Linked DNA regions of Rhinolophus ferrumequinum. The protein of the gene in region 3 purifies or fractionates together with the protein of the main gene of each other region. This does not show direct contact. Links are inferred from orthologs where the notes say so. Each region holds a gene or a part of one and is shown on either strand. Other genes may lie near its edges.

Region 1 (7,510 bases), on a different chromosome or scaffold from region 3:
GTGTGAATCGGTGAGGAGCCTGCCCCATCTGTCCCTGTAGCCTACCTCTCCCTCCGTTCTCCTTCTAATCCCAGCACAGCTCCAGCCACTCGTGTACGGAACTCAAGTTCTGGATTCTGAGCCACTACACACATCAATGCATGGGAGGCTTCCTGATAACACTAATTCAGACACCAGACTAGGGTCATAATAGGGACACACATGGAAGAAACTCTACTTTTGCTCGTACTTTAAAACACTTTTTTTTTCCCCTCAGCAGTCCTACTTCTATTTTAAAAAAATGGTTCTTTTAAAGAGCCGTGCTGAATCATCCAAATGGCTCCCATACAGCCTGGGTAAACTCCCCACTGATTTCCTTTTCAGAAAGAATACAATAAAATTCTTGTGATCCCTCAGGACACTTCTGACAGCTCAATGGGACACAGTTCCAGTTGCCACTAATTGCATCAACTACTTTTTGGAAGTTCTTTCCCGCGGCCTGTAATAACAGCTAACACTTCCAAGCATGTCTCACTCAGTGTGTGCTAAATGCTCAACCTGCCATAGCTTTCTTAATCCTCAGAATTGCCCTACTAGGGAGGGGCTCTGTCACCATTTCATAGATGAGAAAGCTGGGCATGGAGAGAATAAGCAACTTCTAGTGACTAGCAGGGCTGGGATTAGAACCCAGATCTGTCTGACTGCAGTGCCAAATAGGCTGTTAACCACTACAATCTGTTGTTTTCCCAAAAGGTCAAATTAAAGGTACAAGGGAGCAAAGGGAGCACCCCCTACAACTGGCCTTCTGAGAAGGTAACCTTACTTCCCTGGCTGCTCAAGTGACCTGCAAGCTCAGGAAGAGAGGGGCACATGCGCCAGTCACTTCTGTGCTAGGCAGAGAAGCCGAGGGCAATATAGGGAGCTTGTCACCTGCCACCGGTTGCAAAAAGTGCTTTCTCAGCAAAGATCCACCACACTAGCACCACCTCTCTCCTCTCAGAGGCCTGCAATGGCCTCTGAAGAGGTCTCCAGTCTTTTGGTCTCTCCCCTCTTCCTTCCTTCCTCTGTTGAGACTCAAGGGAGATAGTTCTAAAACTAGATCCAACCATGACACTCCAGTGCTTAAAACCTTTTCATTGGCTCCCCATGGCCCTTGGCACAAAGTCCGGAATTGTTAATGTGGCATTCCCTTGTCAACCTATACTGCCTTACTTTGCATTATGTCGACTTTCACACTACCATATTGAACAGGCTGAGGTTTCTAGAATAAACTATGAGTTTACTTGTCTCTAAGTAGAACACCTCGCTCCTTCATTCTCACCTGGCTAAATCTTCCCATCCTTCTAGATGCAGCTCCAGCATAACAGCTTCAGCCAAGCCTTCTCAGGACCCTCCTGCTACCCAGGCTGACCTAGCAGCTCCCTCCACTGGGCTCCCACAGCATTCTGTTCCTGCTGCTATTGGCTTTTTAGACCACATTTCCACTACTTGTTTACAGGTCAGTCTCCCTTAACCGGACCATGAGCTTCTTGAAATAGGAATAATAGCTAATATTTATTGAATGCTTATTATGTGGCAGACATGGTTCTATGTGTTTTACATATGTTAACTTTTTAAATATTTACAACTCTGTTATCAACCTATTTTAGAGATGAGAACACTGAGGCACAGAGGTTAAACAATGTGCCCAAGGTCACACAGCTAGAAAGCTGTGAGCCAGAATTTGAACTCAGGAAGACTGCCTCCAAAGCCCAGTCTTAATCACCATAATATAGGGTACTTGCTTCTCCAGGCAAAGATACTGTTGTTGTCATGTGGGGAACGAATGAATGAATGAATGAATGAGGGCTATCTCCAAACTGTCTAGATCCAACCAGTAAACAACTGGCACAACAGGGCCATTAAAGCGCTGGAGCAGCTCACAAACAGTTTACAAACAAGGATGCTTTTGGCCTTACAATTACATATTCTTCTCTTCCTTATCTCGTGAAAGCTAAGCCAAGAGGGAAATGCGCCCAGCCCAGAGTGACTACCCTCTTCCCCACTGCTCTCAAAACCAAGCAAAGCCAATGGGTTTCCTCCCGTGACTTAAAACAGAGCAAAGTCTATCCTGCCACAGAAGGCGGCTGTCATCTCTTCCTTCCGCCAACAAACCGGCATCAAACCTAGGGAGTGGGGGTGGGCAGAGAACGAGGAGTCGGGAATCCCAAAACCCCAGCCTGGAAGGTGGGGCCAAGTGGCGTGGGAATGGGCGGGCCTGACCCGGCATGGCAGGTGAAACAGTGACCACAGCAACAGGCTCTCTCTCTCCTTGGAAAAGGCCGACCAAATGTAGCACTGGCAAGCAGGTAGCTCTGACCCGCACCCGAACGCCGCCTGGGAAGAGAAATTCCCCAGAAGCGATGGTGCCCGTGCCAACGGGTGAGGGCTCCTGGAGGAAGCCCTGGCTGGCCCTCCCTGGGGACTCGTTCTAACTTTCAAGTCCCTCTCGAGATCAGGAGGGAAGCATGGAGAGACAGAAGGTGTCTCTTGGGAAAAACCTGGCAGGTTCAAACGCCGGTGCCTTCACTTACTGGCCGAGTGATTCCGGGCAAGGTTGGCAGTGTCCACCTCCCAGGGCTTCGGCGAGACCAAGGCTTACCGCGGCCCCGGCGCGCAGCAGCCCCCGCCACCGGGGAACTGCAGACCCCAGAAGAGGAGGGGACATTCGCTGTTGCCACTTCTGTCGCAGCCGGATAGCTTCAGGCTGTCACCCGAGTCCCACCGCCACCGCCGCTGAGGCCCGCCCAGCCAACCCGCACCCCCCGCCCGGCTCCCCACTCCCGGACCCCCGCTCTCACCTTCCCCCGGTGCTCAGCGCTGCTCGCCCATAGTCCGTAGCCCGGAGCCGGGACTGCTCGGCGCTCCGTCCCGGGGGGCCGGGGCCGGGCCGGGGGCGTGGGAGCCGCTCACGGCCGCCTCCCAGCGCAGCCGCCCGAGCCGCCACCGCCGCCGCCGCCTCCCTCCATGGCTGCGGCGCCGCCACCTGACAACGGAAGTGACGCACCGCCCCCTCCTCCGGGCACAAGCCGCAGCCCCGCCCCCGCCCCTGGCCCCGCCCCTCGCCCGAGTCCACAGACCCACGGCGTTGGGATTGGGCACCATCTTGACAACGGGCGGAAGCCTTCAGGCCAGAGGCCAGATTCCAATTGCGGATTGGTTCAAGGTGGGGTCTGGGCCGAGATCTGTGAAACGATTGGAGGCTGAGACTCTAAAGGGGCGGTACTAACTGCTTATCTATGTCTGAGGAAAGGCTGGGCCGGAGGCACCGTCCCCCGCCCCGGCTCCGCGGCACCTCGCGTACCCTGCACACGCCCTGCTGGATTTGGAGAAATCTCCAGCAGTTGGCAGGTCGGCCAGATGTAGTATATTTATCAGAAAAATGGCTCTTCCTTGATCCCCATTTCTCGGTTTCTGGAGTTCTGTGCGTAGAGAGCTGCAGTTAGACTCAATGACAGGAATTCCTGTCGCAGCCCTCACATTTTCCTCTGGGCCCCTCGCTTTTGTAGAAACCCCGCTTCAACTGAAGATCGCTGGAGTCTTGACCAGGGAGGTTTACAGTGAAGAGTTCCTGTTAACTATTCCAGCCACCTAACCTCAGCCCCTCCTGTTGCAGTTTCGGTGCCTTTCTCCTCCTCCTCCAGCAACCACGCCCTCCATGAATCAGCTTCTTGCACCAGCAGATGAGCCCTTTAAAGGGATTGCATCAGGCTGGTGACTCACTGGGGCCCTTTGAGAGCCTGGCTTCCCTCCCCTGCCATGCAGAAGCAGCTAGGAGAGCTTAGTGGCAGCAGCACCAGCGACAATGGCCCCACTCCTTTGTCTCGGGTGTGAGCTGCGGTGCCTGCTGCATATGACTGACACCTCGGGTGTCTTTCCAGCTAGCTATGCCCTGGGTCACCCTGTATCCTTGTGTGGGCACACGTGTCCAAGCCTGGTGCTGGGTTTTTCTAGGGCATGTGGCCAGGCACTTATGTGTATGCGTATTTGTCATCTCCACACAGGCAGTGCCAGGACATGAGAGTTGGTACAAGTGAGAGTCTGGATGCAGCCTCCTGTGTCCATCTCTGTCTCTCTGAATGCTTGGTGTCCTGGGAACTAATAGGGTTAAATAATAATAGTACTAAAACAGCTCCCACTGTTGTGTCACACACCGTATTGAGGAGTTTAGAGACATCAGGTTAGGAGTCTATTTATAGATGAAGAAGCTAGGGCTCTGAGAGGGGAAGTAACCCATCCAAAGACACAGAGCTTATAATGGCAGAGCTGTGATCTGAACCAACTCTGACAGATTCTGAGATGGGTGGATTTGAATTCCTACTGCGTTCCTTACAAGCTGAGTGACTTAGTGTAAGTTCCTTAACCTTCCTTGGCTGTCAAAACAGGGATAACACTTCGTGGGATCACTGTGAGGATTCAGTGAGTGTGGAGGCAATTTCTCATAGGACCTGGTGAGTAAGAGTGCTCCGACTCACCTCAGTTACAGAGCTCTGATGAAGGGGATGACAGAAAGGCAGGCACAAGGAAGCCAGCCACCCCCTCCCCGCCCCCTCCCCAGCTCTCCTCTCTGACAAAGGGAAAAGCCTAGGGATTCCGGAAGCCCTGACTCTGACAGAAATAAGTTTTGGGTTTTCCAGAGTTCTAATTATCAGCTAGATGAATCACTAGGAGCTGACAACACCATCCCCACCCCCAGGAGACTCTCAGCTGATTCAAAACATAGGATTTTAACAAAGGAGAGGAGGAGAAAGAGAAAGAGGGGAGAATAGGTAATGAATAAAAACTAAAGGTGCCAGCCAGAGGAAATGAAACACTGTCATCAAGACACCAACATGAAGCTATTGCGTGTCTCTCTCTCTCTCTCTCTCTCTCTCACACACACACACACACAGTGACATACTCTCCTGCTGGCTCTCCAACTCTGGGCATACTGGCAGATGGCACTGCCATAACAAAGTGACGCCTGTCACAACAGCATGAGATGGTTGCTTGACGAGATATAGGCAGGCCTGCCCAACACAGGAGGAGGTCTTCAACCCCAAAGAGCTTCCTCAGGCTTCTGAAACCCAGCAAATCCTTGTTATTGGCGGACTTCTGGCTTCTCTTTGTGGCCAAGCCCCACGCCTGTGTATGGCAAATTTTGAGTGCCAGGCCCCCACCTGGTGATTGGGTACCACCATCGAGATGAGCAGGGCACTGTGTCGTCATGTGGTGTCAGGAGTGCGAGCAAGCAGAATAGTATAGTGTAGTATCATGGAATTTGGGTCATACAGACCTGAGTTCTTATCCCCACTCTGCTGTTCACTGGCTCTTCAACCTTGAGCAAGTCACTTCACCTTTCTGGGTCTGTTTGCTCATCTGTAAAATGGGGCTACTAATATATACCATTGTAACAATGATGAAACGAGATGATTCTTTCATTCCACAAAGATTTATGGAGTGCCTGCTATGTGCAGAGCACTGGGCTAGATGCTGGAGATCCAGTGGGACCAAACAGGCGACAGCTGTGTCCTCCTGGAGCACCTAGGGCCCTGGCACAGGGCCTGGCACGCAATGAGGTTCAGCAAGTGATAGCTACTTATGATGACCATCTTGGCATTCTGCCAATAAGTTAAACACGGGACCTGAGAAGACCCCTTTCCCCGTCTCCCTGAGGAAATGGCCTGTTTCCTCAACTGTAAAAAGGCAGAGTTGTACTGGATCAGTGGTTCCCAACCATCTCACCGTCAAAGCTTCTTTTAGCATTTTCCCTCCACACGAGCCTCACATTCAGTAAGATTTTGTCTCTCATACAACTTGCATCAAGTCATTTTCCCCTTTTTATTGATCACAGCCTCGTATTATAGCCATTAGAGCTTGCTCAGAAAGAGCAAGCCAAGGTGACCACCATTCTGCTGGTATAATTACAGCCCAAAGCAGAGACCAAGCCAGCTTGGTTACCCTCCAATACTATGTGCTGTTTCTCTGGGTCCTTCTGGAACATTGATAAGAACTCAAGGGACCCCTACTGCCCTCAGGGATCTTTCAGGCAGGGATACCAGACTGGAACTCACTGAACTGGATGTTCTCCTTCAAGTCCCTTCATGTCCTAACCAGCTGAGAGCTGGAGATGCTGTGTCACTTGTATGGCCCCCAGGGAGACAGGACCTTCAAGCTGCATGCCCACCCAGCTCTCCTCGGAGCCCTGACAGTCCCCCTCCTACAAATCAGAGACAGAGACCCCTGTACTCTTCTCTCCAGAAACAGGAAGGGAAAGAGGGGACATGCCATACCACCCGAGCCGTCAGAATTCCTGAGGGCTCAGTCATCACCTAGGACCTCCACATTGCTTTATGTCTGGGCTTGAATAAAGGCCACACCACGAGTAGCACAAAACCCAAACTCCAATGGGGTGATGACATTGGCAATGCTTTTTGTTTTTAAATCTCTTCCTTGGTGGCTCTTGACCTTTCCTTTATGCAGATAGCTAGGTTACTCTGCATTCCTTCTGTCAGGAAATAAATGATACAACAGAATGCAGAGTTCATTTTTAGCTTCTGAATTCCAAAGGCCTAGGCTTCAGAGAGGAATGGAAAGAATTTCTGAGCAGATACAAATTTAGAAAACTGTGACATGGGGATCTGGGAGACTGACTTGGGGGTGGTCCCTGAGAAGAAAGAAGCTTCTTCTCAGCCTGTTAGCTGGAGGGTATCAGCTGGGTCTCAGAGAGTGGAAAACAGGAAGAGTTGTGCTTCTTTTTCCTGGGGGAACGCCAAGAAGTAACAAAACCCTCTGAAGAAACAGCTGTGTGCTGCATTTGGGCAAACAGGGCCTAACTAACCCAAGACCCTAAGAATTTGGGCCTGACTGGCCTGGGAAAAGTAGAACAAAAATCTGAACACTGAGAGGCGTATGGGTTACACTTGAAGGGGAGGTCAGGCGGTCTTTGGTCAGAGAGCAGCAACTCAGCAGCAACCCGAGTGGGCTGATGACAAAACACCAGAACAAAACCCTCGTGGACTTGTGCAACCTGAGCAGATAGATGACAAAATGCCAGAACAAAATGAGGACATTTCAGTGGATGCTATTGTGACTGAATGACCACCAGATTAGACTACCCTTCCCATGCTTTGGTGCCTTGAAAGGAAAACCCTAGAATTCGACCAATTCCAAGGAAAGTGGGGGTAACTTTGAATGGACTGCAATTAAGTTTCTGACACTTGGCTGAGTGAGGCAAAACATGAATTCACTTGAGTTAGAGAAAATTCAAGTTATATTTCTTACACACCAGAATTGGAACCAGCTACACTCCTTACCCCCAAGGTCTTTGTATCATTTGCCCCACCCCTCTCCCATTTCTTCTGCCTCAGTAACGGCAATGGTATTGTTATTGCCCCAAACTCCCAAGCTTTCCCACCTCAGGACCTTTGCACTAGCAGTTTCCTCTGCTCTCCTTTGGCTCTTTAAATGCCAGGCTCCTTCTCCGTTTAAATTTAAATGAATAATGCAGAGT
Region 2 (7,172 bases), on a different chromosome or scaffold from region 3:
GAACAGCCTACTGCATTTTGGTTAACCAGGCACAGTTGGTCTGGGTGTCAATAACTTGGAGAAGATGCAAAATGCCAAATGCTCACTACAAGCAGAGTAATATTTAAAAGAGTCTCTTATTTTCCCCCAAGGTCTGAACTGAACAATTGCAAAACTGACTACAGACCTCCACAAAACCCATGTTTTACAATGAAATACTCCAGTGCCCTACCAAATAAATTCCACAAAGCAGTCTGTGGTTAATGGTAAAAGTGTCACACATTATTTGTAGCAAAGCTGTGCTGAGTGCCCATTTCAAAGACAGCAGGGGTCCCCACTACTCACGACCCCCCCCATTACATTCCCCCAGGAAAAAACAACAGTGAGGAAAATCTAAAATTAAGTGACAATGAATTCTTGATCTATGTCCAATTCCTGGGTAGCTGGTAGGCTCTACTGTCTTCTCTTTTTTTGCAACTATTCCCGTGCTAACCCGCTTGTCTGGAGCCCCGTGGGTGCCTACAAAGACACACAGACACACATACAGCAACCAGTCACTCTTTAGGGTCAAAGACAAAAAGGAAATTGCAGTGTCCAGATCTGGGGCTCCAAATCGGACACGCAAAGGTATATGTGGGGTCGGGGAGTGAGGGAGGACGAAGGGGATTCAAGCACGGAAGTCTGGGGATGAGAAGAAACCGAGACATGAAAGACCCAAAGGAGTCACTATTTCCTACACCCCAAGGTGCGCAGGCGGCTTTGATTTCCACCCCCCAACCCTCCTTTCAAAGATCCAGGCACAAGAAAGCTCTTTGTAAACTCTTACCCCGCGCTGGGCCCCTGGGCTCAGCCAGAAGGGACACCTTTGTGTGTCCTTTTAAAGGGCACCTTCGGAACAAAGGTTTAACACCTGCACGCAGCTAAGAACAATGGCTGCAAAAGGAACCAAGTCATCAGTGCCTTAAAATTAGCGGGGGATTCCCTGCTCCATGTTGGAAGGGGAGGGGGCTAGACACCGAGAGAAATCCCCTGGTCAGTGGAACCTGGCCTCGCGCGGAGGAGCTCCCCGAGATCCTGGGAGCACGCGTGTCTGTGGCCCCCGCGCGGCTCCGCCGCCCTCCCCGCCCCCGGCTCTCCCCAAAACAGCCCCGCCACAGCCCGCCCCATTGTCTGCAACGCTCTAAAAACTTCACAGCTAGTCGCACATGAACAAAATAAATAAATATATCTATTTAACGAGGCCACGGATTATTATCCCGCGAATCTCCCTCGCCCAGACTCCAGGGCTCCGCGACCTCCCGCACCATCCAGCCCCTTCCACACCGCCGGGAAATCTTTTTAAAAGACAAAAAGCAAAAGCAAACCCCGGGCTCTTTACCTTGCACACCAGCTCCTCTCCACTGTGCAGATGCACTGCACGAAAAACGTGGTCTCCCTCCAGAGGTTCCAACAATAAGTATTTCCCGATGCAAGAAACGCAATGCGACAAGTTCGGAGTCTCCGGCGGGCTCGGGGAGCCGAGGTTCGGGCTGAAACTCTGGCTGGGCTCCGCGGACCTTATAGACGACAACTCTTCGAAATCCTGGGTTTTGTTCCGCGATCTCCCATATCTTGCAATTGTGATGGGGGTAGACCTGTGTATGTTCATGAGTGTGGGATCGCACACGACAAACAAAAAAAACCCTCTGGAGGGATGAGTCGCTGGCGAGTGCGGCTGCAGGCGCCTCCGTGCCACGGATTTTAAAAGGGGACGCGAGGGGAAGGAACGAGAAGAGGGCTACGTAGAGAAAGAGTTAGAACCCCCCAAAGGGCGCCGCGGGGCACCTGGTCTGCTCCGAGCCCGGCTCCCAGGGGCACTCGGTCGGCAGCAGCTCGGGTCCTTTTGTTACCCCAAAGCAGCCAGCGATATGCACAATCTCCGCACTTTTAGTTTCTCTCTCTCCCTCTCTTCCCAACGTGGATGTAGACGAGGAACTGGATTGCTAAGGTGGGAGCTGCAGCGCCGGGTCCCCCGGAGCAATCCCCACGCAGGCTTCCGACTCGCAGACGAGGCGGTGGAGCCCTGCTCTAGTTGGTGCAATCTTCGCCGAGCGCACGGCTGCGGATTGCTCTCCGCGCGTTAGAAACCCAACAAAAAGAAAAAGGAAATCAGCACGGGTCTACCGGCTCGCGCCGCTCGGCAGACGGAATCCGCGCTGCACCCCCTTTTTTGGTGGAAAGGGTGGGGGGCGTGGAAGGGGGGGTGCCGGAGAGGGTAGTTACCTACGATTTAACTGTAGATGGCGTCTGAGGCTTTTCCAAGATCGCAAGAGCTCTCCCAAAATTAAACAAACAGACAAAAAAATAGCAAGGGAGCATTTAACTTAGAGCGGTCAACGCTGCCAACAAAAGATTGCAAAAGCTGGGTGCAGAGTAGTGGCGCGGGCCATGCGCAGGTACCGCGACAAAGCCCAGGGCTCGGCGGGCCGGGCGGAGGTCAGCACAGGCTCATGCTGTCGCCAGCCGCTCGCTCGCGCTCCTGGTCGTCCTCCGAATACTGGGAGAAGTGCGGGCAGGGACCGGGGCAGATCAGTGCTCTCCGATTTCCCCAGCCCGAGCGTCCAGGGATCCTCCGGGCGCTGGTAGGGGATGCGCCCCCAGCCCTGCTCACTCGCCGCGCTCCTTTCCCGCTGGGTACCTGGATCTTGCCTCGGAAAAATTTGCAACCACTCGGTCTCCCCCTACCCTACACCCGACTGCCTGGCCGGGTAGGTTTTGGAGGAAATTGAGGGCTTTTCTTCTTCTTTTATTTGTTTCTTCCCCCCTCGGAGGTAAGAGGAATGTGTATTTAAAATTGAAGGGGACGGCCGACGGTGCCCGAGGCCAATCCCCGAGCTCAGCACGCCCGCATCTCCCGGCGAGGCGGTATTAATAGTTACTTACGTGGCCGGGGATCTCGGAGCGAGCGGGGCCGGGTGTGCGCGTGTGTGCGCGCGCGCGCCTCGCTCGCGCTCGGTCTCCCCATTCAATGTCACCGACACATTTCCACGGAGCCTCCGCCCCCCCACCCCGCCACCCCCACCCCCCCCAGCCTCCGCGGCACCGGCGACTGGCTCAACTCGGAGCCGGCCCCGCCCCGCCCCCGCCCGGGCCCCCCTCATTGAGCCGGGCGCCCATCAATCAGCCTCGCGGCTGCCAGTCCGCGGGCGGCTCCCCTCGCCCGCCGGCGGCGCCGGCGGCTGCCACTGCCATTGCAGCTCCCGGGCCGGGGCGCGGGCGCTGGCCTAGCCGCTCGAGGCCTGGGCTCTGTAAACAAAGTGCAATATCCTTCCGCGGCCCGGGGCTAGGGAGTGAGCGCACTGGCCTCGGAAAAGGAGGGTGGAGTGGCGCGGGAACTGCCCCCCGGTCTCCCCCTAGCCAGCAGTTCCTGCAGTGCCTGGTGTACTTTTTCACACCTGGTTCATCTTCCCGGCGCCTTTTCCCAGAAATCTAGGCACCCCCTGAGCATCATGCTCCTCAGAGGGTGCGCGAGCAAAGAGCTCTTCTCTGGTGAACAATGTGTTGGTATCAGTGCTGAATGGGGTTTCAAAAATTAGTTTCATCATCTTTTTCCAACATCTTCCAAATTTTAAAACATTGACTGCTTTTAGTTGGTGTCACCCTCCTCCTGCCCCGCTCCCTCCGGGCTTGGATTATTTTCAGCAGACCAGCTGAAGTCACCGTTTGACTCGGACCAAATTTAATCACTCACTCTTCCCCTTCCAGGACAGTGCCCAGAGGGCCTTCCTTGGTGGCTGAGTGACAACAAACCTCTGCACCCACACCTCACACCAGGGCTCCTGGTTCCTAACCCGAGTGCTGGGCTGCATGGATCCTCTTCTCTTAGCGCACCCCCACTCCTACACCTACATGGATCGCAAATGAATTCAACATTGAGAGTCATGTAGGGTTGATGTTTCCCGCCTCCCACCCCACCCCCTTTTATTCTCCCCAGTCCTCTGGTCTGGGCAGAAACACAACAGGAAAGGTGCCTGGACTCAGGCAGAGGCATGAGACTCCAGGCCTTAATGTATCCTGGTAAATCAGAATCAATCTGGTTGGGGAACAAACTAACTAACTAACTAACTAACTAACTAACTAACTAAAATAAATAAATAAATAAATAAATAAATGAAGCAAGCCAAGGGACCGCGAAAGGGGAGTTTAGAAGACTCCGGGAGCCCTCTGAGCTTTTACATGCATTTATACATATTTTCCAGTGGGGGAGAGAAAGGGGACCATATAATTTATTGCCCACAGTAGGACACTTTTGACTGAAAAGGAGAGCTAGTTCCAAATATGCCCACTCCTGCATAATTTATAATTATACACAACCAAGTTACTGTAGCGATAAGGAGTTCCTGGGAAGTTGGCCAGAGAGGACACTACAGCAGGCTGCCACAGGACCAGAGTTTGAAAAGAAGGTCAAAAAGTGTGGCCCCATGCCTCCTGGCACATCTCATCATCCTGCTCCTCACAAACCTGCCTAGGACTCAGTCATCTGTTCCCCGGGCTATCACTGTGGCTGCCAAGCAGGGACCCTGAATCCTGTCTTGTTCCAGGTACACACTTATGTGCTCCTGTTTGTCTCAGGAACAAAGGCAGCCTCTGCTGGTGGTTCAGGAAGAAAGGCCCAGGCTTCTTCAGTGACCACCAATGATGCTTTACAACTAGGGGCTGGGAGACCCTTGTTCCAACCCTGCCTGGATCCCTGAATTCAAATGAAAATTGACTCAAGACATTTTTTTTTTTCCTCCCTGGGTCCCCATTTCTTCAGCTATAAAATAAGAAGTATAACACCAGCCTTGCTCAGCTCTCGTGATTGCTTTAGAATTGTATTTTCAATTCCAGGAAATCTATGAAGGCTTACTATAAACCCAGCTCTGTGCTGGGTGTTAAGGACCCAAGTATGATTAGCTTTGATCTCTGCCACCCCGGAGCTCAGAGTGTAGCCCCAGAGGAAAACATGAAATACATAATCTCATTGTGTAACAATGTGGCAATTAGAATTTCAAGGCATCAAGGAAGCAGAGAGGAGAAATAACTTTTCCTGGCCTTCAGGAAGTTTTCCCAGAAAACGTTACTTTTTTTACCTTGAATTAATCCAGAGCAAATATTTACTGAAACCTACTATGCACCAGACACTGGGTATAGAGATAGAATGATTTAAAAAATATATTTGTCTTTGTGGTTCTTGACAAAGTTCTGAGTCATAGAATAACATGAATAAGAGATTGTCGTTGGCATTTCAGGCAGAGAAAGAATGTGCAAAAGCAAAGGAGTGGGAGGTTCTGAAATTTCTAGTAACTCACCATGGCTCCACTGTTGGCGACTTGGGAGCAGCGGTGAGGCCTGTGGCTGGCAAAGCGTGTTGGAATTAGAATAGAAAGGGGCTGATAGACCAGTCCCTGGTCTTAGCAGCAAAGGAGAAGTAGAGTGAAGGCTGATGGTTGGATTGGGGTTTTAAAAAGGTCACGCTGGAGGTCATCTGGAGTAAATACCAGTGGGCTTCTAAAGGAAGAAAGAGCACTGTAGACTGGAAAGATCAAAAAAATTATAAACTTACGGTGATGTGTAACTGATGCTATACCTGATTGAAAAGTATTTATTACTTCTGACGAAATTATACAGTAGCCACTGACCTGCCCATTCTCAAAGGTCAAATGTATAACCTTTGGAAGCTATTGCAGTACAGAATGGATTAAATAATTCATAACAAGTGCCTTAAACATTTTTATACATATTGATATAACTCTCAGGTTGAAAAAAAAATAAAAAAACACATGTTGTAGGACTATCTGGGTGGGAACCTTCATTCATTCCCTTTTTAGCTATATGACCTTAGGTGAATTTAGAATATCTTAATTATAAAGTAGAATTAAGATATTCTGAATTTTACCTAACACATCACAGTTATGGAAGATGTATAAAGCAAGAGCACAATGTCTTGCATATTATAAATAAATACTTTTTATTACTATTATTTTTATTATTGCTATTATTATTGGAATACATCCACAGAAAGCAATCTACCATATAATAAGAATAATAATAAGTTACAAAATTCTAACAGTCTCAATAAAATGTATGGGAATTGTTAAACACACTGTTGTAAGAATGGTTAACTACACTATGTAACAATGATAAAATATTATGTGGCAATTAAAACAAGAATTATATAATTACAGGAAACAGTTAAACCAGTCCTCTCTATTGGACAGTCAAATGCAGTTGCTTTAGGTCACTAGCGGGCTGTGTATGCTTTCCAGATCATTCTATCTTGAAATATATTTAGCTGTGCCTTCATCTACTTCATTTCTCATAAGTTTATTAATTTAGCAAACATCACAGTAGGTACCTACTAAATGTAAATCTCTAAGCTAAGCTCTGTGTTTCTTGAGCAAATAAATGGTTTTTGAGAACAATTTCTAAGACGACTGTATCACTTCAGGCTGATATGGACCACAAGTGATGACATTCATCTTTCTCAAACAACTCTACAGTAAGTCATACCTAGTCTTAAAAATCGGCGACAAACTTCCAGGATAAACATAGAGAATGCTGACCCATGCTGATATGCAGGCTGTGGACCACACAACTCCAGACTGTTTCATTCCCATTGAGGTCTCTGTGCGTGGCACCCCTGGACTTGTGCAAAACGCAATCTTCTTGGCCACACGTGGAACCTTGAGCTTAGACAAATTGGGCTGGAGGGAACCTCCCAGCCACTTCACCTCCACTCGTCTCGGTTACACACCCACCAGCTTCTCATCATTTTGTGGACTCCAGTCCCCACCTCTATGCCCACTGAGAGTCCTCCCATAATAGTAATTTCTTTTCTCAATCTGTTTTAAACAGTTCGCGTTTGGAAAGCAGTTGTTTATTTACAAGGTGATTCCTAGGGGCACCTATTAAAGGGTACCTGTTTGTTTGATTTACCATGGCTGGACAGGAGTTGTGTTTTTCTGTTTGTTTATTTGTTTGTTTTGTTTTTTAACAAATGGCCCAGTCCACTGGGAAAAGTCCAGTATATAAATACAGAAGAAATTGCCATGTTGGACCCATTTTTTCCCAGGCCTTGGTTTTGTAGCATTTTTTGTCATATAGGGAAATAGTTGTTGAGTGCTTACAAGTGAAGTGAATACAGGAGACATTTTCTTGTTGCCCTTAAATTA
Region 3 (7,508 bases):
TTGGAGAACAGACTGGTCCTCAAATAATAACTTTAAGAAATTATAGTTCTCTATAGGTGTCTACCTTGTGTTTTAAAGTGCAAGTTGGAACTTTTCACTTTAATTTTCTGCTAGATGCATTATTATGCTATCGGGTTAAGAAATTTCTCCATTTCTTTCTTCTCCATTCAAACTGACAGAAAATTGTTTTCTCCTTTTTCTTCTTGTCGTGCGAGGGACTCTGCTCCCTGAACCAGTTGTCACGCAGGGCGGCCTGAAGGGTGACAGGTGGGGTATCCAGCCGACTACGCATGTGTCACGCAGGACGTCCGGCGGGGTCTCTGGTCCCACTCCCCACAGAAAAACGCAGGATATGGTGAGGCCAAAAAGGAACACCCACGGAGCCATAAGTAGGGGAGTCATTATCTCTATACTCTCGCTGGTGGCTGGGTTGGAGAAACAGGACGCAGGAGCCACACTGTTTGCAACCCTCACTGTGCCGCTTGCAGGCTCAGCCACCATCTTCTTGCTAGCCCCCATTTTCTTTTTTTTGCTGCTAGCCTAGCCACGGCCGTTATATTCATGGCTAATGGCTCACTGGTTACAGCTGACGGCCAACTAGCCACAGCTGCTGGCCATTTGATCACAGTCAATGGCCATTTACTACCTGAGCCAGCACCTTTCTATGTGAGGCCGAGAGCCTGGAAACTGCTTTTTGGGGCTCTGTCCCCACACTTCTCAATTTAGCTTTTTAATACCATGGTTATTTCATACCCCCCCCTTTTTTTTTAAATAGGGCAAACACATTAAATTAAAAACAAAAACTGAACAGGAAGCTACTATTCAGAGATTTGGTTAGACAACAAACAGGGCTAACAGGTAGCAAACCCTTCAGGTGAGTCAGATAAATACAGCTTTTTAGGGAGGATCGTTTTGGAAGATTGGTTACCAAAGGGCAGGGCTAGCTGGAGATGAGACCAACAGCCTTATTTCCCTAAATTATATTTGGATAAGATACCTTAGCAATATATCTGGGAAGTTCAATCCTCTTGGTAGTTCCATTCCACCTTAACTATTAGATTTTACTTCAGTAGCCGTGTTTTTGTGGAAGACTGGATTTCGTCTTGTCATGTTTATCATTCACTGGATTAATATATTTAATACATGATGGAATTCTTTTAATTATTAGGGCTAAGCTGTTATTTTACATTTACTTTCATTTCTCATTAATGCTTTCTTCCCTTCTCCTATTTGCTACTTCTTCTGAGTTGTCTGACTTTTGTCTGTTTGCATGTGTATATTTTGTCATGCTTCCTCTTTTCTGCTTCCCCAGAAGATTTTGCCAGTAAAAACTAGTAAGGGTGGTGTACTTTCAGAAGTCTTTATACATTTATCTGATATAAGAGGGAAATTCTACTGCATCATATCCCCTCAGCTTCCTTTTGTAAATTTAGATTTTATTAAAGATAGGTTCTAAAGTGGTCCTATCACTTTAAGCACATGATGATTTTATTAAAGATAGGTTCTAAAGTGGTCCTATCACTTTAAGCACATGATGATTTTATTAAAGATAGGTTCTAAAGTGGTCCTATCACTTTAAGCACATGATGATTTTTTTTTTCTCAGAGACTTCTCAACGAGTCATATCCCTTTCTGTCTCCTGAATAAGCTACCTGGAAGGAAGAGACTACTTTACGTATTTCTCTTACATTACCTACAGTATCAATCACGTATTTCTCAAAGGGTTAGTCACCTGCATCAGATTCACCTGGGTGCTGGTAAGAACGCATATTCATAGGCCCTACCTCAGACCTATAGAGTCAGACCTATAGAGTCAAATGAATTTAAACAAGGGATCTCTGGAGGTAGAGCTCAGACACCTGTAGCTTTATTTCTCTCATGTGCTGAACTTTCCCCTTAGCCTTAGCCTGAATTTTCAATCACCACCTGGATCTGCTTACTTGAAAGTAAGCACTCACACAACACATCCCAAACTAAATCATCCACTGGCTGTCTCCAATTCTGTCATCCTGCTATTATCCCTGGAGTCACTCCTCTTTGTGTTCCATCACTTTTACTTAATCAATTTGTCAGCATTTATGCCCACAAAGTACTGGGCAAGACAGTGAGGAACAAGACAGACATGGGTCAGGCCCTCAAGAATTGTCAAGATTCTTTTAGAGCGTAACTTACTTCTATAGACTCTGTTGTGATTTTTTCCTCAAAATATCCCCTTACTTTCCTCATCAGCTCTCTAATCTAGAATCTCATCACTTATGCTTGGGCTGCTATAATTTTTTCCTAATTAGTCTCTTTGCTCCTCATCTCCCACTTCTTCTGAAAGATTAATCTGCTGAAAACTTAAACTTCAAAATGACACTGAATATATTTTACCCCCAATAAATGCCTTCATTGTTTCCAATGGCTTATAGGCTATTTTCCAAAGTGAATTCAAGACTCTTTACAATTTGCCCCCCAAATGAATTTTTCCTGAATAAACTCTTTACCCCTATCAAATAGGTATCTGAACTTGATGAAAATACTTTCACCTTTTTATTTTCTGGGTTCATGACTTTAATTACACTTCCTGATTGACCAAGCCATACTTTCCTTTCTTAAGGTCTAACATTTACCCACACCAACATGGCTGGTCCTCAGCACTTGCTCTTGCTTTAGCTCCTATGGCGATTCTCTACTCATTAAGCATTTCACATGTGCTCCTTGGAGACATTACTTACTTTTTTATGTATTTTTCTAATTCGTCAACTATTCCATAAATTTCCTGAATGTAGGAACATTTTATATACTTCTTCATCTCTTCTTTGCCTAATCCAGGCCTATGGGTAGCAAATGTTCAACAGATATTCATCAAATTCTTTGCATTACTTTACGCATTCTTTCATCAAAAAAATTATTGAATGCCCACTGAACACCAATACGGTTCTGTCTTTCATGGAACTTACAATTTAATTGGAAAACCATACTTTAAGCAAATAATTAAAATAAAAATGAGGTCAATTGCTTTATTCGTTAGTCGAGAAATATTTGATGAGCATCTATCATAGGCCAGGTATTGTGTTACCTCCTGGGAATACAAAGCTGAAGCTGATAGGCTGGTGGAGGAGAATCATATATAAACCACTAACATACAATGTTATAAGTGCAAACAAAATATCGTTGGAGCACAAATGAGAGTGCAACTATCTCTGACAAGGAGTCAGGAAGGCTTCACATTTCAGTTGGGTCTTGGAAATGAATTTAAACAAGGGATTAGATAATGCAACGTTCACACAAGGAGGGTGGTTCATGGAAATCTGATAAACCCATTCCTGTATTATTATTCTGAGCAGAAACCTGAGCTGGAAATAGGAGGGTGAGCAACTAAGGCAGAGTTGAGGAGTGTGGTACCCTTACGATGGTTCACTGCCCAGGTGAATGGCTGTCTTGTTGCTGGGCCTTCATGTAGGCCCTTCCCTGGCCCTACCCCTTCAGCGTGGACAGATATTCCTGGGGAAAGGCCCTGGTTGTTCCTAGTCTTCAAAACTCAAGAAAATTAATTCTGGGCTCTTTTCCTCCAAGACACATAAAATGCTAAGAGTTGGAAAGAGATACCGAAAAATCACCCAGTTCAGTTGTTTCTCCTTTACATCCCCAAGAATCTTAGGGATTCTCCAAAAGGCAAATGACAATCTGTAATCAATTTTTAAGATTCCAAAAAGCCTCCCAGAAATTGCACATTTTCTGGTGGTATTAAGTACCAGGTTTCTTTGTTTTGTGCTAGGAATACATCAGATCCACATAAACCGAGGTTCTGGCTGAGCTGTGTTCTGATTAAGTATCGTTTGTTTTCCCATTGTTGTTAGGCTTAATTTGGCAAATCGCTTTTCAAAATACAAGAAGAGGATCATGGTCGAACCCATAAAATTGGTAACATCTGCTACAACGTTTTCAACTTACAAAGCACTGTCGACTGACTTCATCTTAACGTATTCCTCAGAATACTGTGGAATGGTCCTGAGTCCCTGACTCTCAGTCCAGTGCTCTTTCCAACTGCTCGGAGCTTCTGGGTTATTTGTATGCGTCCCAGTCTGCAGAGCCTTCAATCCCCCACTCGGAAGCACCTGCCATGCCCTCGCCACTGGTTTGCACAGCCTGCCTCTCTCTCAGGCAACGGCAACCGCTCCCTCTTCACGTTGAGGAATGCGGCTCACCCGCACGCATGCGTGGTGCGCCGGCGCCGCTCAACTCCGCCAGGAGCGGGCACCCTGGGTAACTCAGGGCGCGCGTGCGCAGTCGCTCTGCAAGCCCTCCCCCTCAAGCCCTCGGCCACCGCGACCATTCATTCCGCTCGCTGCAGTCTTGTCACCCATTACGACGGCCTGCCCTCCGGTACGTCACGAACGAAAACAGCTCCCGGCGAGGGCTACCGTCGGTACAGGCCGCCGCCGTCGCCGACGGCGCGCCGTGCGCGTCTGAGAACCGCCCGGGCCGCCCGTCAAGTCGTATCCCCCGCCGTTCCCGCCCCTTCCGCCGCTCGCGCACGCGCACCGCCGGGCCTCGGCGCCCCAGGGTTGGCTGCGGCAGGGTACCGCGGCGGCGGCGGCCTCAAGAGCGGCAGTGGTTTCTCCTCGGCTTTATTAGTTTCCTCCGCCCCCTCCCGTCGGACGCTGTCGTGTGGTCGCCTTACAAAAATCAACTTTATTGTTCCTCAGCCCCACCTCCGGCGCGGCGCGCGTCCTCAGGATGCACTGAGCGGAGGCAGGGGAGGCGGCGGCGGCGGGTCGCGGTCCCTCTCCTCCGAGCGCCCCGCCGGAGGGGAGGGAGTCACGATGTCTGGTAGCCGCCAGGCCGGGTCGGGCTCCGCCGGGACCAGCCCTGGCTCCTCGGCGGCCTCCTCGGTGACTTCCGCCTCCTCGTCCTTATCCTCTTCCCCGTCGCCCCCTTCCGTGGTGGCGGCTTCGGCGTCGGCGCTGGGGTCCGGCGGGGCAGCCCAGGCCGCGGGCTCCGGCGGCCTCGGGGGCCCGGTGCGGCCTGTGTTGGTGGCGCCCGCTGTGTCCGGCAGCGGCAGAGGGAGCGGCGGTGGGGTGGTGTCCGCGGGCCTGTCCCGGCTCAGCTGCGCGCCCAGGCCCAGCGCCGGCGGAGGAGGGAGCAGTTCCAGCCTCGGCAGCGGCAGCAGGAAGCGACCTCTGCTCGCCCCTCTCTGCAACGGGCTCATCAACTCGTACGAGGACAAAAGCAACGACTTCGTATGGTGGGTTTGAAGAGCAGCCCCCTCCCCGTCGCGGAGTTTCTGCCGTTCGGGCTGGTGGGTCGGGGCGGTGTCTGCAGAGCGATTCGAGCTGCTGCTCGGTGGGGTGAGCAATGTTGGAGACCCCGGGCAGGGTGGGTACCCACGAGGTAAGGACTCGTGAGGGGGAAGTGAAGAGCGTTCAGGGCCTAAGAAACGAGGGGGCAAGGTGGAAAGTCAAATACATGGTTCTGCGTAAAAGGAAAAAGTTGGGCAAGGAAGTTAGGCCTTGAATTTTCTGGCTGGCTGGTGAATTCGGTGTCCTGTTAGTCCGATTGCTTGTTCAAGTGAATTAGATTTGTAAAGGGAGAGGGGTACGCTCCCTGGGATGCTGAGGGATGGAGTTGTTGGCCAGATTTTGCTGATTGAAAGTGTGGTAGACGGTGTACTAAACCTGGGTATGGATGTTTTAAGAAGTAGTATTTCATGTAAGTGTCCATGGTGTGTCTATGGATAAAGATCTCTTACTGTTTCAAAGGGTAGGCCGCTTGGAAATCTGTCAAGAAAGGCTGTTCACCAAAAATTGCACTTCTCAACTGAGTATCTTGAAATAGGGAACCACATTTACTAAATATCATCCGTGTGTCAGATGGAGCCACTACACTTCTGTATCACATTCGAGTATACTGGAACGTCTCATTTGAGGAAGGCGAGATATTTGACATTTTGTCAGCCAGACTTGAATGACATCTTGAATGATACACCGTAGTAGTATTCAGTTACGTATTTGTCATGGAGGGGTCAGCCCTATTAAGTGAAAGATGGAGTTGATTGTCTTGTTGAGAGTGTTTCTGGATTTTCACTGGATTTCTGTATCCAAAACCCAGGCAAATAGTAGAATTGTGAGAAAGAAGTTACTTTTAGCAGAGTGAAATTTACCAGCTAACTGGTAGGATTTTGTGCTTTTCCCTGGAGGAAATTGTAGGTGGATTTAGAATAGTAATGGTGTAGGAAGTTGGCTTGCGACTGTCATTATAGGGGAAGTTGATTCACTTCAGGATCAAAGATGATCGGAGTTTGTTGTCATTACAGTTGACCCTTGAACAACACAGGTTTGAACCGTGTGGGTCCAGTTATATATACATCGGTATTTTTCAGTAAATACAATTGGCCCTTGTATCCTTGGTTTCGCATCTGTAGATTCAACCAATCACTGACCAAAGACAGTATTTTCACATTCCTAACCTCAGGTAGAAATAATACTATTTTCCATCTGCAATTGGTTGAATTCACTATGCAAAGGGCCATCCGTAGAGTCGAAAGTTAAAAGCGGATTTTTGATGGTGTGGGGGTCGGTGCCCCTAGCCCTCCTGTTCAAAGATCAACTGGTAAATACGATGGGAAGTTATTGATTAGACTTACAGTTTCTAGTTCTTGCAGTAATGATGTCTATTCATATGCTTGCTTTGGTCTTAAATTATTCTAGATTCAGAATTAATTCATTTTTCATTGAAACTGGGCTATAATTGTGATTGTTATTTAAAAATAAGCAGCTCGTGGTGGGGTCTAAGGTGTTTGTGCTCATACTCAGTAGAGAGTGCCATATGATAAAGTAGAAGCTAATGAAACAAAATGAGAGTTTGCAGGATTCAGTTTTTTTAGCCACCATTTTCATTTCGGGTTTCAGTAGGCTAAAAGAAAACATGCCAGCATCCAGATAGGTACACCAAAATAGTGCCAAAGATGTGAGAAATAAGGGAATCAGTGGTTCATTTAGCAGGTATTTATTTGGCACTCTCTGTCTGCCAGGCGCCACATGAGTTTTATTGTACTTCTGATAGGCCATTTTATCCGGAATTGAAGAAGGATGGGGGAATGGAAGCAGCTAGCACTGATTTTTTTTTTGGGGGGGAGGGGTAGGTTATTTACATTTTTATTAGTCTGCCACCTAATTTTTTAAAATTACAATCTAGTCCCCGAGTCCTAACCATGTTTATTAAATTATTCTGTTTTCTTTAATATTCTAATACGGAAGTATCCAGTAAGAGTCTTTAGTTAAAAATTCTGAATATTTCACTTTAATAATCTCATTAATCCATTTCTTTTTCTGGTGAGGTTGAATATTCAGAAGAACTCATTAATGAAAATCTATTTTCCAAATTCTCAAGCTAGATTTGATTTGGCCAAGCTTTTGGAGTAGGGGGATATGGATTAGGCAAGGCTCAAGGAATCCTTTTCATTTCTAATTGGCTCTGGGTGATTGGTCTGGTCTTGTATGCTTCAAGGTCAAACTGAACCAATC
Region 4 (7,755 bases), on a different chromosome or scaffold from region 3:
CACTGTTCCCCAATACAGTCCTGATCCCCTTCCCCAATAAAATCTTAAAAAAAAAATAATGCTCACCAAAAAATTAGATCAGAACCTTGTGTCTAAATAGCAAAAGGCAAGAAACACCCTCAATGTCCAGCAGTTGGAGGCTGGTTAAAACATTATGGTACAGCCATGCAGTAGAACACTATACAGTTCTGAAAAAGGACCGGGAAGCTCTCTACATACTGATGTAATAATACCAGTACAAGGTTATTCTTGCAGCCCATGTAATAGAAATAACTGAACATCCATCATTAGGGGTCTGGTTACATAGATTGTATTTCATCCATACATGGAACTCAGCCCCCAAAACCCACTCCCATCTGGCAACCATCAGTGTGTTCTCTGTATCTAGGAGTTGGTTTCTATTTTGTATGTCTGTTGTGTTGTTTTTTTTTTAAATTCCACATAAAAGTGAAATCATATATTTGTCTTCTCTATCTGACTTCTTTCACTTAGCATAATATCCTCTGGGTCCATCCATGTTATTGCAAATGGTAAAATTTCATTTTTTATATCCAAGTAATACTCCATTGTACAAGTATTATATATATGTACCACATCTTCTTTATCCAGTCCGTCTATTGATGGACACTTAGGTTGCCTCCATATCTTGGTTATTGTAAATAATGCTGCAAAGAACATAGGGATGCATATATCTTTTTGAAGTAGTGTTTTGGATTTCTTCAGACAGATATCCAGTAACTGAATTGCTAGATTATAAGGTAGTTCTGTTTTTAATTTTTTGAGGAACCTCCATACAATTTTCCATAGTGGCTGCACCAAGTTGCAATCTCACCAACAGTGCATGAGGGTTCCCTTTCTCCACATCCTTGCCAACACCATTTTCTGTTGATTTATTGATGATGGCCATTCTGACAGGTGTGAGGTGATATCTCATTGTGGTTTTAATTTGCATTTCTCTGATGATTAGTGACTTTGAGCATCTTTTCATATGTCTAGTAATGCCCATAGGATTTTTGTGGTGAAGAAATTAAAACAGAAATAAAGTAGCATGGCCTTGTTACAGGATAGGAGTCAGGAAATGGTCACTACTGCTGTTCCATTATTATTTATTATTATTATTATTAATATTATTATTATTAGCTGAAGATGCTCAAGTGCTACCATATGGAGACTCAGAAATCTCCCCAGGGATGAGGCTAGGATGACCTCACTGGCTGTTCTGAGTCAAGCAAAATGACCCCTGGCTGTGTAGATGCTTTGTGCCCTGTGAAGCAGAGACTCCCTGGAGTGGCTTTCTGGTGGTTGTACAGCACTCCAGGCTGCTTTGGCCCTACTGTACCTCAGAGCCTGGTGGGGCCTGGGATGCCCCACACCATTGAACAGGGGTATCTGAATCTATAGATGAACATGGGACTTTGCAGGCCACACTGCAGGATCTCCACTGTAGGATGGAGGCAGCCCCTAATATCTACCTCTTACTGGTCCCTGACAACCCCATGGGAAAAGGGGCAGGTCGTACTAAATACACACTCACACAACAGGGGAGACAGGTGTACACACACCCCTCAAAAACACACTTTGTCCAAGCCAGCCAGCAGAGACACATACATCCAGGGTAGACACAGGCACACACATCAAGTGATACACACTTACCTCTCCCTCCACGGGCAAGCGTGCACGCACACACACACAGCTCTCCCAACCATCACACTCACGATAGCAGGACTGATAGCAACAGGGTCACACGCACAGTCTGACACGCCCCCTCCCCGCCCTCGCCCAATACACACACATTCACTGGGCCTAAGGCAGTCGGCTGCCTCGCCGGCCTCCCGCAGCCAGGCTCCTCCCTTGGGAGCGGAAGAGGCGGCAGCGGGTGTCTCGGGCAGAAGATTCAGCGGAAACCGAGGTGCGGTGGGGAATCAGGAGGGGGTGAGACAGAGAGAGGGAGGCTGGGCCCAAGGGCAGGGGGCAGGAGCGGGGCTGGGCCCTCGCCTCCCCTCCCCAAGTCTCCAGGTACAACACACGCCGTCTGCTGGATCGAAACACACGTGCGCACAGTGCAACGTGCAAACCGGTAGGTACACACCTGCGGCCCAGGACCGGCGCGCAGCAGGGTCCCGCATCCGCCCGCTGCCTCCGTGGTCCCACTTGACCTGCACGGGTCCTCCGCCTCCAGGAAACCCCTGCCCTACCCCGCCCGTACCCCCTACACAGCCAACACCTGCCACCAGGTGCTCTGCCCTCCCCGCAACTCTCACCGTCCGCGGAAACACAGAGTCCCGAAACACATCCCCACCCAGACCCCACAGGCTCCCGCGGACTCCCGCGGATACCCCCCCACAGTGACAGAGACTGTACATACAGTCCTCCAGTCCTCCAATGCAGTCCCTCACACACACTCCTCCCCCACCAAACCACACGACTCCCCTGACCCACACTCACCCAAAACACAGACAACCGCACACCTCTCTCGGACCCACACACGGACACCTCCGTCCTGGCTCCCTCCGCCCCCGGGACACAGCTAACACCCCCGGGGTGTGCTCCCTCGCCCTAGCGGGTGTCGGCCTCACTTGGGCGACCCCAAGGCCTGAGGGGCTGCGTCACCTGAGACCCGGCAGGAACATTCGGCCCAGATCGCCCCCGGACGGCCAGGTTTGTTCAAAGGGGTGTGTGTAACACGCGGCAGCCCGGAGCCATCCCGAAGCTCGCCGGCCACCCTCCGCCGGTCGCCCCTCCAACCTACCCGCCCCTCCAACCTTCCTGCCCCTGGCTCCCAGCCGGGTACCTTGCCCTGGTGCGGCGGTGTCCTGCGGACCCCTAAGTTCAGAGTCGCCTGGGCACCCCTGGTGGACTGGGACCTGCTCCGCTGCTGCTGAGCTTGGGATCTGGCGGAGCTCTGGCCTCGACCCCCCGCAGCCCGAAGCGTGCGGAGCCGCCGCGGCTTCCGCGGCGAGTGTCTCTTGGACGCCTGGCGCCAGGCGACGGTTCTGGCCCGGGTGATGTAAACCTGAGCTAATCAGCAGCCGCCTGAGGCGCTCCGGCCGGGGATTGCACCATCCCCTGCGCTCCGCCCCTCCCAACGCGCTCCGCCCCGTCCCTCCGGTTAGGTTCCCGGGCGGGGCCGGGGCACCCCTCGCCTCTCCCGCCCTCGAAGGGTGTCTCGTCTCCACCCCACTCCCCTTCCGCCCCGCGCCCGAAGTTTGAGTGTAGACACCAGCCACTGACTCTCCCTATCATCTTGGAAAAAGCATTTTGCTTTTCTGAGCCTTGGTTTCCCCATCTGTGAAATGGGAAAAACATCCTTGCTTCTCAGGATGGTGCTGAAGAGAAATAAAAAAAGCAAACCATTACAGCCTCCTGGCTACCTTTCCACCATTGCTTTTTAAACCTTTAGAGAAGCTTTGGCAGGCAGGAAGCTCTAGTCTCCCCATTCTACTAAGGAACTGCCTGAGGCCCAGCTATGGGAAAGCAGCCCAGGAGCTTTACAAAAACCACAGATTTATAGGAGCTGATTCCTGGCTCAAAAGAGCCAGTGTGGTGCCCTGGGAAGGCCTGAGGTAAGGTGAACTTCACAGCATTCATTTGATAAAGGCAGTGCAACCATTAGTAGTGGTTAAGAGCAGGCACCCTAGAAACAGCCTGCCTAAGAGTGCACCCCACCTCTGCCCAGGCCACTGTGCTACCTCAGGAATGCTACCTAAAACCCTGCTTCAGTGTCCTCCACTATAAAATGGGCTTATAATAGCACAGCATTCACTTCATAGAGTCGTTGTTTGGATAAAAGAAGTTAGTAAAATGCTTAGAACAGTGTGTGGCACATCATAGGTGCTCAATAAAAAGAGTATACAAAATGGAGGCTCAGCGAGGGGAAGATGCCTATCACGGGACTTGCACCCCAGGCCTGGCAGGCCCTGGTGGCACTTGCTATTTGGTAAAGCATCCCTGTGCAGCCCCGGGGATCTACACTTTTCAGTGGAAATCCTTTCTAGGTCTTGATGTCTGGAAAAATATGATGTCAACCCTCAGTTTTTCCTCTGTCTCTGAGACTATTTCTGATTAGTTCATTTATTCTTTTCTTTATATTCCACATATAAGTGAGATCATGTGGTATTTGTCTTTCTCTGACTTATTTCACTTAACACAATGTTCTCTAGGTTCATCCATATTGTTGCAAATGGTAAGATTTCATTCTTCTTTATGGCTGCGTAATACGCCATTGTATAAATGTACCACAGTTTCTTAATCCAGTCATCTACCGATGGGCATTTCAATGGACTCTCATTAGGGAGACCACCTCAGGGATGACGTACATGCCTGATCACTGCACTGTACACCTGAAGCTGAAGCTGAACAATAATGAATGTCAACTACAACTATATACATATATAGTTACAAGAAGCGGAGTACAGCATGAGGAATAGTGACAGTGGAAATGTAATGGCTGTGTGCGATGTCAGAGGGGTAGTGGATGGGGGGTGGGGGGTTGTCACTGTGTGAGGGCTATAAATGATAAATGTCTATTACATTGTTTTGTGCACCTGAAACTAATAAAAACAAATGTTAAAAAAAAAGATGTCAAAAAAATAACTGCTCAGGCAGAGGTTGGATGGGAGGCGGTTGGAGTCACCTTTGTTTCCCTAGTTCCAGAACCATAGGGACCAGCTCACTAGTGTCTCAGATCCTTCAGGGCACACTAGGGGATTCTGGGATTTCATTTAACCCTGGAGACTCCCCTGCCTGGGAGGGATAAATGAACTCATTTTCTACACCAGGACATCTAGACTCAGGTCAGAAGTTCCCATAGCTGTTAGGGGTAAAGAAAGGTAGGGATGGTTGTCTTCTGAGCACCTTTATGAAGCTGGCACTGCGCTGGGTTGGCTCACACATTCCTAACTTTGTTTCGGGTGTCAGACCCATGCCTGTCACGACTCATCGGAAACAAGACTGACCCATCGCTGTCCTCATGGATTGTATAAATCAATGGGGAGACAGGCCATTATCAATAAAATAAAATCAATAAACCACGATCATTGAAAATAGATTATAAGTGTCATTTATTTTCTTGAATAAAATAGGGTAGATTTTTCTGTATCAGAGATGACTGAGGGATGGCTGTTTTCAGTAAGTCTCATCAGGAAGGTGATGCTTAAAGTAGGATCTTAAGGAAGAATAGGGGTGACTAGTGCAAAGATGTGAGGGGGAAAGAGGAAAAAGTAAGCACAGAGATTCTGAGGCACTGGTGAGATGGGCACTGTCACCTACATTCTATAAATGAGTCAAGGTGAGGGACTTACCCAAGACCACCCAGCTCATTGTATGAGGTAGATTTGGATTTGAACTTGGGGCCGCTGACCCCAGTGTCCACACTGGCCAGGGACATTTCACAATCTTTGCAAACCAGCAGCCTCCACCCTCACTTGTAGGTATGTTCTCTGGAACCACACCCTGGGCCTCGGCCCCAAGTTTGAGGCCCTTGTCACAGCTGGGGGTGTCACATCCCAATTCTCTAGACCAGCACTTTCCAATAGAATATAACATAAGCCACATATGTAGTTTCAAATTTTCTAGTCATGCACTAAAGAAGAATAAAAAGAAACAGGTGGAATTAATTTTGATAATATATTCTATTTAAACCAATGTATCTAGCATATTATCATTTCACAGATAATAAAAATTATTAATGAGTTCATCTAAAATATTTTCATACTAATGTCTTCAAAATCTGGTGTGTATATATTACACTTAATTTGGACACAAATCAGCATGGAAGCTAAATTGTTAAAGTAATGGTTAAAGTAAAATGTAGTCCTACTAAAAAACTTAAGCTGTATTTAATGGAAAAAATATGTTACCTGACCTGTCTTAAAATTAAAATTCAATAAAATGAAAAATTCAGTTCCTTGGTCACAGTAACCACATTCTAAATGCTCAGTAGCGAGCCGGCCCGGTGGCCCAGGTGGTTGGAGCTCCGTGCTCCTAATGCCGAAGGCTGCCGGTTCAATTCCCACATGGGCCAGTGGGCTCTCAACCACAAGGTTGCCCATTGGACTCCTCGACTCCCACAAGGCATGGTGGGCTCTGCCCCCTGCAACTAAGATTGAACACGGCACCTTGAGCTGAGCTGCTGCTGAGCTCCCAGATGGCTCAGTTGGTTGGAGCCCGTCCTCTCAACCACACGGTTGCCAGTTCGACTCCCGCAAGGGATGGTGGACTGCACCCCCTGCAACTAACAGCGGCAACTGGACCTGGGGCTGAGCTGTGCCCTCCACAACTATGACTGAAAGGAAAACAACTTGACTTGGAAAAAATCCTGGAAGCACACACTGTTCCCCAATAAAGTCCTGTTCCACTTCCCCAATAAAATCTTAAATAAATAAATGCTCAGTAGCCACACATGTGGCCATATTGAATAGCACAACCCTTGACCAAGAATTCCTGACACATGGTCCAGGGAGTACAACAAAGAAGTGAAGAGTCTGTCCGGTCCACAACGTAGATGCCAAATAGCCTTCAGCCTCAGTTCCTGCATCTATTTCCTGCATCTATAAAATGGGATTAATCATACTTTTCTTGCATTGCAGTCTTAAGGGTTAAATGCATTGAGGCAGCCTAGTGTCATAGTCAAACCACATTTCCTGGGTTCAAATCTTACCAATTCCAAGGTGAAATTTTGTGTAAGTTATTTAAGCTCTCTGTGTCTCAGTTTCCTTATCTGCAAAATGGGGATAATAATAGTACCTATTGCATTGGTTTGTCATGAGGATTAAATGACGATATTTGTGAGGTGCCTGGAATATAAATGCTATGTAAGCATTTTTTAAAAGTGAGAAAATAAATGGTTGCCAGACCCCCAAAATTAAATGCAAAAAAGTGCACTTTCCTGGAGAGAGAGTTATTTTTATGACATCCCTTCTCTCCAGGCTCAAAACATCCTCCACCCAGGTGTCTGAGCCAAGCAGGCTGCATTACTATTGCTGTAGTTCTGATGAGCCCAGTCTCTGGCCCTCAGGGAATTTAATTCCTCTTCTCTCTTAAATCCATTCCAATCACAATTCTACCTGCTCGCCCTTCCCTAGGGAAACTGCTCTTGTCAAAGTCACTGTGTGTCTAAGTCCAATGCTCAGAGGACTGTGCCCCAACAGAGGAGAGGAGGTGGGAGTCTGTGGACTGCTATGATGGGAGCCACGACAGGAGCCACACCTGCCTCCTGCCATTCCACCCAGGTGTCACTAGTGATTGCTACATGTCTCAAATTCTACGATTGGTGCCCTTAAACCTTTCATCTCTGTATGTTCTCCCCACGAAAGGGAAACAATGCCTTGGAAAGATTTCCGGTTAGACTCTAGGTCTGGCTGAAGCCACAGACCTTGTGAGATCGTGGGCAAGTCACCTCCTCTTTTGGAGCCTTAGTTTTCTTATCTGTAAAATAGGAAGAAAGATTTGGATTAGCTCAGTGCTTTCCAAAATATGATATGTACAGCAGTGGTAGATGCCAGATAGTTTTAGGTCTCCAGACTCTATTACATAACATTGAATCATATCATGATACATGTATTTCTTTTTTGTTTTCTTCCTGTTCCTCCAATTACTGGGGAAGAAAATCTCATTTAACAGCTTCTGTGTCTTTAACACTTCACTTGTTAAGGAAGAGAGAGCAGGGCTCAGCTCAGAGCCTTCAGCAAGAAACAGGTTCTAACTAGAATTCAAGAATAGTGTTTTTGCTTTCCTGGCATTTAATGTTACTTCCCT

The links.
Region 1: the proteins of COP1 (region 3) and STK40 purify together in Homo sapiens (affinity purification with mass spectrometry; 3 studies listed by BioGRID and IntAct, counting the BioPlex papers as one, with this or other methods). This does not show direct contact. The link is inferred for Rhinolophus ferrumequinum from reciprocal best matches to the Homo sapiens genes COP1 and STK40.
Region 2: the proteins of COP1 (region 3) and TRIB2 purify together in Homo sapiens (affinity purification with mass spectrometry; 4 studies listed by BioGRID and IntAct, counting the BioPlex papers as one, with this or other methods). This does not show direct contact. The link is inferred for Rhinolophus ferrumequinum from reciprocal best matches to the Homo sapiens genes COP1 and TRIB2.
Region 4: the proteins of COP1 (region 3) and TRIB3 purify together in Homo sapiens (affinity purification with mass spectrometry; 5 studies listed by BioGRID and IntAct, counting the BioPlex papers as one, with this or other methods). This does not show direct contact. The link is inferred for Rhinolophus ferrumequinum from reciprocal best matches to the Homo sapiens genes COP1 and TRIB3.

Annotation. Positions count from the first base shown.
Region 1 is NC_046292.1:25,285,422-25,292,931, forward strand, and holds the start of STK40 (serine/threonine-protein kinase 40), read right to left. Parts: upstream 3,001-7,510; 5' UTR 2,820-3,000; intron 1-2,819. UniProt on the Homo sapiens protein: May be a negative regulator of NF-kappa-B and p53-mediated gene transcription.
Region 2 is NC_046296.1:63,869,481-63,876,652, forward strand, and holds the start of TRIB2 (tribbles homolog 2), read right to left. Parts: upstream 3,001-7,172; 5' UTR 1,628-3,000; coding exon 1,358-1,627; intron 1-1,357.
Region 3 is NC_046305.1:10,101,384-10,108,891, reverse strand, and holds the start of COP1 (E3 ubiquitin-protein ligase COP1), read left to right. Parts: upstream 1-4,501; 5' UTR 4,502-4,808; coding exon 4,809-5,230; intron 5,231-7,508. UniProt on the Homo sapiens protein: E3 ubiquitin-protein ligase that mediates ubiquitination and subsequent proteasomal degradation of target proteins.
Region 4 is NC_046306.1:23,329,998-23,337,752, reverse strand, and holds the start of TRIB3 (tribbles homolog 3), read right to left. Parts: upstream 3,013-7,755; 5' UTR 2,792-3,012; intron 1-2,791. UniProt on the Homo sapiens protein: Inactive protein kinase which acts as a regulator of the integrated stress response (ISR), a process for adaptation to various stress. Inhibits the transcriptional activity of DDIT3/CHOP and is involved in DDIT3/CHOP-dependent cell death during ER stress.